Macaca fascicularis: one gene and its partners. Each later gene encodes a partner of the first gene's protein in a complex. Links are inferred from orthologs where the notes say so. Each region holds a gene or a part of one and is shown in the gene's direction. Other genes may lie near its edges.

Region 1 (3,648 bases):
CCTGCCTCAGCCTCCCAAGTAGCTGGGATTACAGGCGCCCACCATACCTGGCTAATTTTCTGTATTTTTAGTAGAGACGGAGTTTTGCCATGTTGCCCAGGTTGGTCTCGAACTCCTGAGCTCAGGCAATCCACCCAACTTGACCTCCCAAAGTGCTGGGATTATAAGCATGGGCCTGGTCACCGTCAAGAATTTCAGTCTGTAAAGTGCTTAAAGCCGTGTGGTACTAAAATTGGAGAAATTATTCGTCAATAAATACCTGGATGTTGGGAAATGCTTCTTGAAGGACTGGTCTTGAAGGTTGGGTAGGATTTTGATAGATGGAGAATAACAGAAGAAACACAGTTTAAAAAGCAACACAAGAAAGGCAGGATAAATGTAAGATTAGAAACTCAATGACAAACACATAGAAGATTATTTTTATAGGAACTTTGGCTTCCTAAAAAAAGACTTTAGAAGTTGAACCTGTAATGCTAGTTACTTTAATTGCCAATAAAAATTTTAGTAGAAGCAGATAAACTATTATGGTGTCTTTCCCTGTAGCGGTTCAATGCACAGAGAAAGACGCAAGTTTTTAAGATCTGCACTGAAGGAATTGGCTACTGTCCTCTCTGATCAGCCTGGATTGCTAGGTCCCAAGGTAACTGATTTAATTATTATTTCAATAATTGTGCCATATTAAAATTTTAAAAAACATTTCTACATGAAATTTTACTGAAATTTGAGTCAGGGACTACATAAAAGGATTTTTATATTTAGTGGAGCATGAATTTTCTGACTTGACATTCATACATCGTACCTCCCTGCATTCTTCTCCCTTGTATGCATGCTCTCTCTCTCCTACATACTTGTAAGTTCTCTTGTGCTCTCTCCTGTTAGTCTCCTCACTCTTTTGAATTGATATTATCACTTCTTGCCAATGACTTTTCACATAGAAAGAGATTACGAGTTTGTTTTTTGTCATTGAATAAGAATAAACACTTATTTTTTTTAAACAGGCACTTTTTGTTTTTATGGCGTTATCCTTTGCCCGTGATGAAATCATCTGGCTACTTCGTCATGCAGATAACATGCCAAAGAAGAGTGCAGACGACTTTATAGATAAGTACGTTAGCAACATTTAAAAAATTATTTTCTGTATATAGATGCTGCTTGATTTACAATGGGGTTATGTCCTGATAGACCCCATTGTAAGTTGAAAATATTGTTAAGTTGAAATGCATTTAGTACATCTCATCTACTGAACATTAGAGCTTAGCCTAGCCTACCTTAAATGTGCTCAGAACACTTTTATTAGCCTACAGTTGGGCAAAATTATCTGGCAACATAGTACACTGAAGAGTGTAAGTTGTTTATCTTTCTGATTACATAGTTGACTGGGAACTGCGGCAGCATCATGAGAGAGTATCATACTGCCTATTGCTAGCCTGGAAAAAAAAGTCAAAATTCAGAGTACAATTTGTACTAAATGTGTATTGCTTCTGCACCATTGTAAATTAGAAAGATAGTACATCCAAATCACTGTAAGGTGTGCACCATCTGTATTCTGATTTATGGGCTGGGGAATCTGGAGACTTATATTTGAAGCAAAATTATTTTGAAGAGCTTGGAATATTTGTGATATATCATTAGATGATATTAATTAGACTGCAAAGTCAACTTTAGTTTTAAATTAGGGCTTTTGTTTTCTCATAGTATGCTTTGTGGTGATAAAGTTTTTGTTTTCTTGCTATGCTCAATAATATTTCTTACAGAATTCATTTTTTAAAACTAGTTACTACACAAAACATTTAAATAAAAATCCTGTTTGTAGAGTTGCAACCCAGTGTGTCATTAAAATGTCTTTGTGTTGTTTTAGTTCAGTCTCTCAATAAGAGTTAGAAAAATGGAGCAGAGAAGTAAGAGCATACAGGAAAATTTTATTTCTTGCTAATCCTCTTTTATTTGAGATTTTTTGATGATGTATTTATAACATGTCCTGTTTTTTTATTTTTTTTAATTTAATTTTGTTTTGTTTTGTTTTGTTTTTTGAGACAGAGTTTTACTCTGTCACCCAGGCTAGAGTGCAGTGATGCCATCTTGGCTCATTGCAACCTCAACCTCCTGGGTTCAAGCGATTCTCCTGTCTCAGCCTCCCAAGTAGCTGGGTTTACAGGCACCCACCACCATGCCCAGCTAATTTTTGTATTTTTAGCAGAGATGGGATTTTACCTCGTTGGCCAGGCTGGTCTTGAACCCCTGACCTCAGGTGATCAGCCTACCTTGGCCTCCCGAAGTGCTGTAATTACAGTTGTGAGCCACTGTACCCGTGAACACTATTTTCAGTTTGGATTTTCTGCTATCAATTTTTAGCCTTAGCTTTTTTTCTTTTTTTCTTTGCTTTCCATGATTTCTTTATTTATGAAACAATTTAAAAAGGAAGTAATTGACATCAGGTATTAAACAGTGCCCTTTATAAGAAAAATACTTTTATGAATGAGATCTAGGGCCTCTAATATATTCTTTAATAATGGTGAATTTATTATTTGAAATATTTTTCTTGAAATTTTAAAAAAGGCACATTGCTGAATTAATATTTTACATGGAAGAGCTTAGAGCACATGTGAGGAAATATGGACCTGTAATGCAGAGGTATTACGTGCAGTACCTTTCTGGCTTTGATGCTGTTGTCCTCAATGAACTCGTGCAGGTAAAAACTATCTTATACTATTTCCCTTTTGTTCCTTCCTTCCCACCTTTGATGGTATTTGATTTGTTTGTTCAACAAGCATTTATGAAATATCATGTGCCAAGCGATAAATCATGTTTATATTTTGTCGAGATCATTACCTAGAAGGGAAGAAACAGTTGTAGTCCAATGTGATAGGTATTGTGCGTAAACTGTATATAAAGCTCAGAGTGAACACAAGGAAAGACACGATTATTTATCCTGAAGATGAAGGTGTATACTCACCAAATTACAGAGGGCCTTGGGAAAGAGGAGGTTAGTCATAAATCAGATGTACTACTTAGAAAGATCACCCTGGTTCAGTGTGGATGATAGATTGCTGGGAACCAAGTAAGGAGGCAGAGAGACCAGAAGAAAAATGACAGCAGTAGGCTAAATGAGAGGTGATGAGAGCCTGAGCTTGGGCAGAAGCTATGGAGATTCAGAAGAGATGATAGAGACAATATAATTGATAATTAACTATTAGAAGGAAAGAATAAAAATCTTTTTGAAGAAGATTGTTAAAGGATGACCAGTAAATAAAGATTTCATATAGATATTCCCATTTAAATGTCCAATTTTTTTTTCTTAATTGGTTTTTAGCCTTTTTTTTTTTTTTTGCTTTCCATAATTTACTTATTCAGTGTTTTTCATCTTTATTTAAATTAAAAAAAGCCGGGCGCGGTGGCTCAAGCCTGTAATCCCAGCACTTTGGGAGGCTGAGACGGGCGGATCACAAGGTCAGGAGATCGAGACCATCCTGGCTAACACGGTGAAACCCCATCTCTACTAAAAAATACAAAAAACTAGCCGGGCGAGGTAGCGGGCGCCTGTGGTCCCAGCTACTCCGGAGGCTGAGGCAGGAGAATGGCGTGAACCCGGGAGGCGGAGCTTGCAGTGAGCTGAGATCCGGCCACTGCACTCCAGCCTGGGCGACAGAG
Region 2 (3,648 bases), on another chromosome or scaffold:
CTTCCCCAGTGTCCTACAGGCAATTCGAAAGACCATCTGTGACTGGGAGGGAGGGCGAGAGCCCCCCAATGACCCATGCTTGAGAGGGGAGAAGGACCCCAAAGGTGGATTTGACATCAAGGTGCCCCGGCGTGCTGTGGGGCCATCCAGCACACAGGTAAGCGGCTCCAGGCACAGGCCAGCTGCGTTGACTCAGAGGCCAGCCCAGCTATGGTAGGTCATCATGGCTGGCCATGGGCAGTGGGACTGGGAGCCATTGGTCAGGAGGGGCAGGGTTGAGTGGCTGCTCTGGTTTTATTCTGCCATATTGTTTTGATATAGGAAGGAGGACCACTGGCTTAAGATTCAGGAGACCTGGATTCTAGTCCTAGATACCTGTGTGACCTCGGGCACGTTACAGATCTCTCTGTGCCTCAGTTGTTTAAACTAGCTAATGGGGATAATACCACATCCACCTTGCCTGGCTATCTTCTAGTCCTATGAAGTATAGATTCCAAAGTGCAGGAGGAGGTTAAAGTGGAATCTATACACATCTATCCTGTCCCTCTTTAATAAGCCCTGGCCCTTTCCCCTAAAAGTTCTGCCTCTGACTTGCTGTGTGATCTTGGGCAAGCACCTTGAGCTCTCTGAGCTCTGACTATCTTCTCTGCAAAATGAAAACTTCGAATGAGATTGTGTTACTAACAAAATATCCCTTAGTTCCACATCCTTCCAAAAGTGCAAGTGTTGAAAGCCCTTGTCCCCTTAGAGGAAGTCCAGTATTTGGAAACACTCAGAGTTGCCAGCCAGAGCTTCTACGCAAGAGGTCGCCCGTGGCTTATCCAGAGCAGTCATAACATTACAGAAAAAAAGTCAATAATCTGAGTATCTCCGTTAAGTCCCTGCTACCTACTTAAGGCTAGGTAGTTTCTGGTAGTATTTTTGATGTGCTGGAAAAAGCAGATGGTTCTCATTGCGGGTTTAAGGGTCTCAGAGGCCTCACTTCCCATGACCTTTAAGCCTCTCTCTGCTCTCAGCCACCCGAGATGGACCATCCGAGGCCCACCCCCTGACCCTTCTCCCTGTGTGTGTGTCTGTGTCTGTGCTGGGGGCTGGGGCAGGGGAGAGGTGGGTTCTCGGCAGGGTCGTCTTAACTCCCCTTGGCTTGACAACCCTCTGCCAGTTTGCACCAATCTCACCGGCTGGTTGTAGAACGCCCCGAGGAAGCGTCTGCAAACAGTTCTGTGTAGTATCAAGGACTGAGGTCCGGGGAACACTGAGCAGGGCTTTCAGGTGTTTCTGTAAGTTTTAAGACATGAGTGAGCAGGAGACAGACAAGGCACAAAAGACACTGGAAAGGAGGAGGAGGGGGCTTAACAGGCAGAGAGAAAAGGAGAGGTGAGGAAGGGAGGATTTGTGTAGATGATGTGAGAGGGGTGGGTCACCAGCAGTAAATCCCCCCTCACCCCCAGCCTCCACCAGGTCATGCCAGGGTGGCACAGACATGTGGAATAGACTCCTAGACAACCAGAGCTGGGAGAGCTCTTAGAGAAACCTAGGCCCTCCCCATATCTTGCAGATGGGGAAACTGAGGTCTAGAGAGGGGAAGTGACTTGTCCAAGTCACAAGGCGAGTCCCAGGTGGAGGTGGGACAAGAACCCAGGTCTCCTGACACCCACCCAGGGCTCTGGTATGGTCTGCAGGGCACAGTAGACATGGGCATCTTGCATAGTTGGGATAGAGACTGGTTTGGTGAATTAAATGCTCTGTTAAGTAAAAGTACATGGGAAAAGAGTTCACCCTCTTATGGGTGAAACCAGTTTTCAGATCGTTAGAGTTGGACATCAATCAGACAGCATCCACAACAGATTAGACTTGCATTCTTCCTTTGAGGACTTGAGAGGCCGTCATGAGAAGAGTGCTTCTCGGCTCTTAGGGATGATGAGACGGGCCCCCCAACAGGCCTGCAGATGGGGGACTGTCTGAGGCACTGACGGCCACCATGGCTGCTTTCCCACAAAGGAAGCCCTGTGGCAGGGATGGTGGGTCACGTTTCTGTGGCTGCCCTGCCCGCATCAGTGCCAGGTATGTGGTGGGGAAGATCCCAGGGAAGCTCCAGAGGCAGCGAAGACGAACGCGGTTGCTGGGAGGTTGGAGTGTCTCAGAGGTAGCCCCCGGCAGTCGGCAGTCGTGGCGGCTTTCCCACCGTATACAATACCTCTTGCTTTTCTCTCTCTCTCTCTCTCTCTCTCTTTCTCTCTCTCCCTCTTCCCTGTCTCTCCTGCCCTCCCGTTCCCTCTTCCTTCTCTCCTATCTGTGTCTTAGGCCTGCCAGTGGTCCCCGAGGGCTTTGTTTCACCCCACTGGTGGCACACAGGGCCGAAGAGGCTGCCGATCCCTGGTATCACACCGCCTGGCTGGGTGGTTTGGGTACCCTTCTCGAGGAGGCAGCAGGAATGGACTAGCCTGGCTCCTCAAGGCCCCTTCCAGCCCTAAGATTCACAGACAAATGATGTGGAGAGATCTAGATTAGCAAAGAGAACCACCCCACCGCACTTGCATCCTTTGCACTTAAGGCACCCTGTAAGCGGGAGTTAATTGTCTAGTAGCCTCCTGTGTAAGTACCAATGTTAACCCGCCTTCCGCCCCGGACTTCAGCAGGCTGTGCAGTGCAGCCGATGCCACCAAGGGGGCGCCATTGCTCAGCCACGGGGTCAAAACGCTGAGGATCAGGAACAGGTGTGGGAGGGGGTTCGTTCTGATCTTATCCCATTTCTCAGTTCCTCAGAATGTTAGTTCTGAAAGGGACTGGTGTGAGAAGGCATCTGGTCCAACCCCCTCATGTTACATGAGACAACTGAGGCCCAGAGTGGGGGCTTTGTTGCCTAAGGTCACACAGCAAATCAGCAGCAGTGCCTGGCCTTGAACCCCGGTCTTTTGACTCCCAGTCCAGTGCTCCGCCCATGGCATCTGTGGCCCTCTGGGAAAACAGGGAGTGAGTGACTCCAGGGTGACATGTAATGAGGTTCTCCTCTGATATACACACCCTTGGCCAAGCAGAGCAGGGAGCCACCTGCTGTGGCCAGGCCCACCGGCCCAGGGATGCCACGGGGCCCGGGTTGGCCATGAAGCTTTTCACAGTTCCACATTTACTTCTCAAACCCTAAACTGGTGCTTCCTTAGGACAATGCTTTTTAAGAGCAGACATCTGCAGACAAGAATAAATACATAAATACAACACGAAGCAACCTTTTCCCCTGGGGTGGAGGGCCAGCTTCTGACCTTCTCATCTTGCCTTCTTTTTCAAGCTGTACATGGTGCGGACCATGCTTGAATCGCTCATTGCAGACAAAAGCGGCTCCAAGAAGACCCTGAGGAGCAGCCTCGACGGACCCATTGTCCTCGCCATAGAGGACTTTCACAAACAGTCCTTCTTCTTCACACACCTGCTCAACATCAGTGGTGAGCTGCATCCCACCCCTGCTGAGGCATGGAGGGAGGGGACGAAGGGCTCAGAGCCACTAAGACCACCAAGCCAGGCATGGCAAAGGGACGTGATCGTTGACCCTAAGGACGTGATCGTTGATATCACCGCCAAGGAAAACACACACACTTTCCAGTGGGCTTTTGGAGCTGGGAAAGGCCAGGTTCAACTCAGCTATTCTGACCT
Region 3 (4,090 bases), on another chromosome or scaffold:
TTATTTTGATTCTAAATGACTTTATGGAGATACATGGACATATGGATTTTACAATGATCTTTAGTTTCCTCTTCGGCCTTTGGACAACACTTTTCATAGCTGATTATATCCAAAGCATTTAATGTTCCCGTTGAAGTGAAGAGCTTGAAATATAGGGCCTTTTGAGACTATTCCAAAGCAGGTGATAAAAACAAAACAAAAATCCAGAAGCAAAAAACGAAGGGCCAGCATGGGTGGCTCATGATTGTAATCCTAGCAGTTTGGGAGGCTGAGGCAGAAGGATTGCTTGAGGCCAGGGGTTCGAGACCAGCGAGGGCAACAAAATTGGATCCCTGTCGCTACAAAAATTTAAAAAGCTCAGCCCCGGTGTAGTGACCCTCGCTTGTAGTCCCAGTTACTCCGGAGGCTGAGGCATGAGGATCGCTTGAGTCTAGGAGGTCTAGGCTGCAGAGAGCCGTGATTGCGCTACCGTACTCCAGGCTGGGTAAGAGTGAGATCCTGTTTCAAACAACCCCCACCCCTAAAAAACCGTGCACTTGACTTTAAAAGTGTAGGAAGATTACATGCCAAGGAGAGTCACAGAAAAGAGAAATTAGGACAGGAAAGCCCTACAAGCTATGCATGTTTATTTTATAATCGAGTCTTTAAGGGTATGGAGTATTCATACTCAACTTGTACCCCCAGTGTCCAGTACACTGCTTAGTAAACAGCTGGAATCAAGAAATCTTTGCTAAATTTTAAATTAATTGATGGGGGCGGAAGCTCAGAAAGTAAAACCTGACTCGCATTATTTCTAAGAAGGCAGAGGAAGTAAAAATCTAGTTTTCTATACTCTGTCCCTTTTTAATCCTTCTGTGAATGGATGTCCCTGATTCACTGGCATTTCCTAATTAACCAAGTTCTGCCAAGTTTCACATGAAACTTGGGGAACCGATTTCATTCCCCCACAATCACCCTGTGGCGCCACCTTCCGGAGCTGTGAGGAAACTCCGGACTTCCCCCCAACACCGCCCCCTCCCTCCACCTTCGGTCTCCGCTTTCTGCGCTCTGCCTAGTTGTTTTCGGAGGTGTCTGCGCGCATGCGCTTTGGACGGGCAGCCTTGTCTAAGAGAGACTACAATTCCCAGAAGACAGTGCGAAAGAAAAAAAAATCCCGCGGCCCGGCGTGGGGGAGGTGGCAGAAATGAAGACTCGCGAGAGAACGAGGTTCAGGCGGCTGCGCGAAGTGGGTGGAGGGAGACCCGAGAGAGTGAGGAAGAACGGGAGGAGGTGCCGTCCCACAATACCAGGCGGGAGGGCGGGTAGTCGGTTTGTATCCGGGCTGTGAGGTGCTCGGAGCCTCGGCGGACCTTGCTGCCTCTGTCTCTTTAACGCGAGAGGAAGCGATGCAGAGGGGTGGAAAATGGCAGAGCTGCAGATGTTACTAGAGGAGGAGATCCCGTCTGGCAAGAGGGCGCTGATCGAGAGTTACCAGAACCTGACTCGGGTGGCGGACTACTGTGAAAACAACTACATACAGGTGAGGCGCGCTGGCGGCCGGCGGGCGCTGGCCGGGTCGAGGACCCGCCGGAGTGACCAGCCCACTGGGCGGGGTGGGGAACTGCCCTCACCTCAGCGGTTGCCACCAGCCCGAGCCCCTACCGCAGTCCCAACCCCAGCCCCAACCGGGGACAGAGCGAGTGGCCCGGCTGAGGGAGTCGGGCTGCGATACAGGAAGTGGCTGTGGTGGTGGAAATCGATGGAAGGGGAGAGAAAATGGGCGAGGGAGCCGGGAGCCCGCCGCAGCCCGGCGCCCCCCTCGCGTCCGCTTTCCCCAGGGCCGGGCCACCGGGGTCGCGCGCCCCCCAGGTAGCCTCCAGTCCACGGAGCTGGCGTCCTGGAGACCCCCCTGCTGCCGCCGCGCCGCCTCTCTGCGCCCGGAGAGGAGGTCCAGGACGGGAGAGGGGAGAGGAGAGGGCAGGGACCAGGCTGAAGCCGCAGAAGGGATAGGACCAGCGGGGTGTGTGTTGTGTGTCGGCGGAGGGTGGGGTGGGGGCCATTATGTCAGTTTCAGCCCCCAGAGGGTGTGTCTTTTATTTATTTATTTAAAAAAAATTTGTCATGAGTCACATTACACCGACCTCCCGGAGGAGAGGAGGAAGCGGGTGTGGGGAGTGAGGGAGGGCGTTTGAGAGAAGTTAATCTTAAAATTCCTTTAATTGAAGGTTTGTAAATCTGCCTGCTTGTCCATTTTCAAGTCGGGTTCCCCCCCCCCCCCCGCCATCGTTTTCGCTTCCGCCCCACCGTAATGTATTCTAAGAGGTTGTTAGGGCTGCTATCATTAATTATCAAACAGGAATTGTTTTTAACTCCTTGGAAAAACGGCTTAAATACTCTCTCTTCTCCCAAAAGTTCTTGAACTGTAGGCTTCATAAGTAACTTAATACTGGTGTCATCGCTGGTTGCTTATTTTCTGAGGTTTCTCTCTTAACAAGCTAAGTAAATGTATAGTATATGAATCCAAGTACAGAAATGAACAGAGGTAGCCTCCGAACTACAACATAAAAATATCAGTTATTGTAAATTAGAAAACTCTTGGGACTTTGTGACAGATGCTGGTTTGTTCATTTCTTTTTGGATGATTGGAAGTGAATTGTGTGTGGTAGTTTGTTTTGAAGACCTTTAACTGTGTAAACCAACAGTTTGCACTAGAAACAAAGTAGCACAGTCCTTTGTATAAATATAAAGCCACCAGAAATGCTCTTGCTTTTGGTAAGGCAAGGCTAGAACGTGCTTTGAAAGGTTAGGGTTATTGCAATTCAGAACTAAATTATTTATAGAAATGCCTCCCATGTGATTATAATTTTTAAGAACCAATGTTTGTGTGTTGGCAAATGCTTTCCCTCTTTATTTTTAGAGGGAGATGCTGTTTTCAGAATGTTTTGAATATTTCTTAATTTTGATGTTAGTAACATTGTATCTTCAGTAGCACTACTCGGAATTTATCTTCACAATTTTTTTGTAAAGTTTTTACTTTAGGAATTCTTCGGATAAGTAAACTTGTTGAATACCTGTCACATCTACTGTATCACTTTGTTTATGCAAACTTTATATTTAGCCCTTCGAAACTTAAAAATCGAGTAGAAAAGTGGGTATAGTTTGCAAATACAAAAGTGATCTTGTAGTTTATCGATATTAAAAATAGGCAACTTTTATTCAACTTAACATGAAAAGCCTTGAAATTGAGGAGAACCTTAATTTGCTGAAAGTTTTAAAGATTTTTGAAAGCCAAAAGGAGAGCACAGTAGGTTAAATTGCTCCCTTTCCAGAAAAGTTATGTCTTCTCTGTAGAAGTCAGTAGATAAGTACTTCATACAGGGTGGCTCCTTTTTGTTTTGCGTGTTGGGAAATCTGACGAGTATATAGTGTGGTAACTATGTGTTGGCAACTCTTGGTAACTGTAAACGTGTTTTAACCTGTGTACTATTTCTTTTTCAGGTAGTTGTATGCTGTAATGCTTTTTTTACCCCTCTCTGACCCCTTTCCTTTACTCCTCTTGCTACGATCATGTAACTTTGAAGCACTTTAAAACTTCTTTGCTAATATATCTAATTAAGTCATGTTATTTCTCATACAGTCTCTCACTTTATAAAATGTTAGTGCCATGGTGCAGGCCCCGTTTTTTTATTTTCTTTTTTTGCGGGGGCGGGGTGGGGTATAATTCTAAATCTGACACCAGTGAGGTGTTTTGTTTATACTGGGGGGGGGGGGGGGGGAAAGAATTCACACAAAGCAATGATGATCTAAATACCTTAGTAGCCTTTATTCATTGGGCTGCATGATCCAGGCCACTAGTTGCCTCCCTAAGGGACTCAGACAGGGTCAGACTCAGAAAGTGATGTGGAAGTTGATGTGGTAGGTGGTGCTGATGACTTTGGTGCTAAGAATGGGGAATGAATAATATTAGAAATATCCATTAGGGTGTCTGTTGAGGTCTTTCTATATCCTTCCTGGGACCTGATTGGGTTATTTATAACTAATACTCTTCATAAATATACCTCTTCTCAGTGAAAGTATGCAGTTCACATGTGCTTTGAGAATTTTTAAATAA

Evidence for each region.
Region 2: NCKAP1 (region 1) and CYFIP2 share a complex: the UniProt entries of both Homo sapiens proteins name them as parts of the WAVE1 complex. The link is inferred for Macaca fascicularis from reciprocal best matches to the Homo sapiens genes NCKAP1 and CYFIP2.
Region 3: NCKAP1 (region 1) and ABI1 share a complex: the UniProt entries of both Homo sapiens proteins name them as parts of the WAVE2 complex. The link is inferred for Macaca fascicularis from reciprocal best matches to the Homo sapiens genes NCKAP1 and ABI1.

Annotation. Positions count from the first base shown.
Region 1 is NC_088386.1:78,538,705-78,542,352, reverse strand, and holds part of NCKAP1 (nck-associated protein 1), read left to right. Parts: intron 1-543; coding exon 544-640; intron 641-998; coding exon 999-1,105; intron 1,106-2,556; coding exon 2,557-2,689; intron 2,690-3,648. UniProt on the Homo sapiens protein: Part of the WAVE complex that regulates lamellipodia formation. The WAVE complex regulates actin filament reorganization via its interaction with the Arp2/3 complex. Actin remodeling activity is regulated by RAC1.
Region 2 is NC_088380.1:164,117,416-164,121,063, forward strand, and holds part of CYFIP2 (cytoplasmic FMR1-interacting protein 2), read left to right. Parts: intron 1-9; coding exon 10-157; intron 158-2,304; coding exon 2,305-2,379; intron 2,380-3,286; coding exon 3,287-3,440; intron 3,441-3,648. UniProt on the Homo sapiens protein: Involved in T-cell adhesion and p53/TP53-dependent induction of apoptosis. Does not bind RNA. As component of the WAVE1 complex, required for BDNF-NTRK2 endocytic trafficking and signaling from early endosomes.
Region 3 is NC_088383.1:27,593,714-27,597,803, reverse strand, and holds the start of ABI1 (abl interactor 1), read left to right. Parts: upstream 1-1,236; 5' UTR 1,237-1,402; coding exon 1,403-1,519; intron 1,520-4,090. UniProt on the Homo sapiens protein: May act in negative regulation of cell growth and transformation by interacting with nonreceptor tyrosine kinases ABL1 and/or ABL2. May play a role in regulation of EGF-induced Erk pathway activation. Involved in cytoskeletal reorganization and EGFR signaling.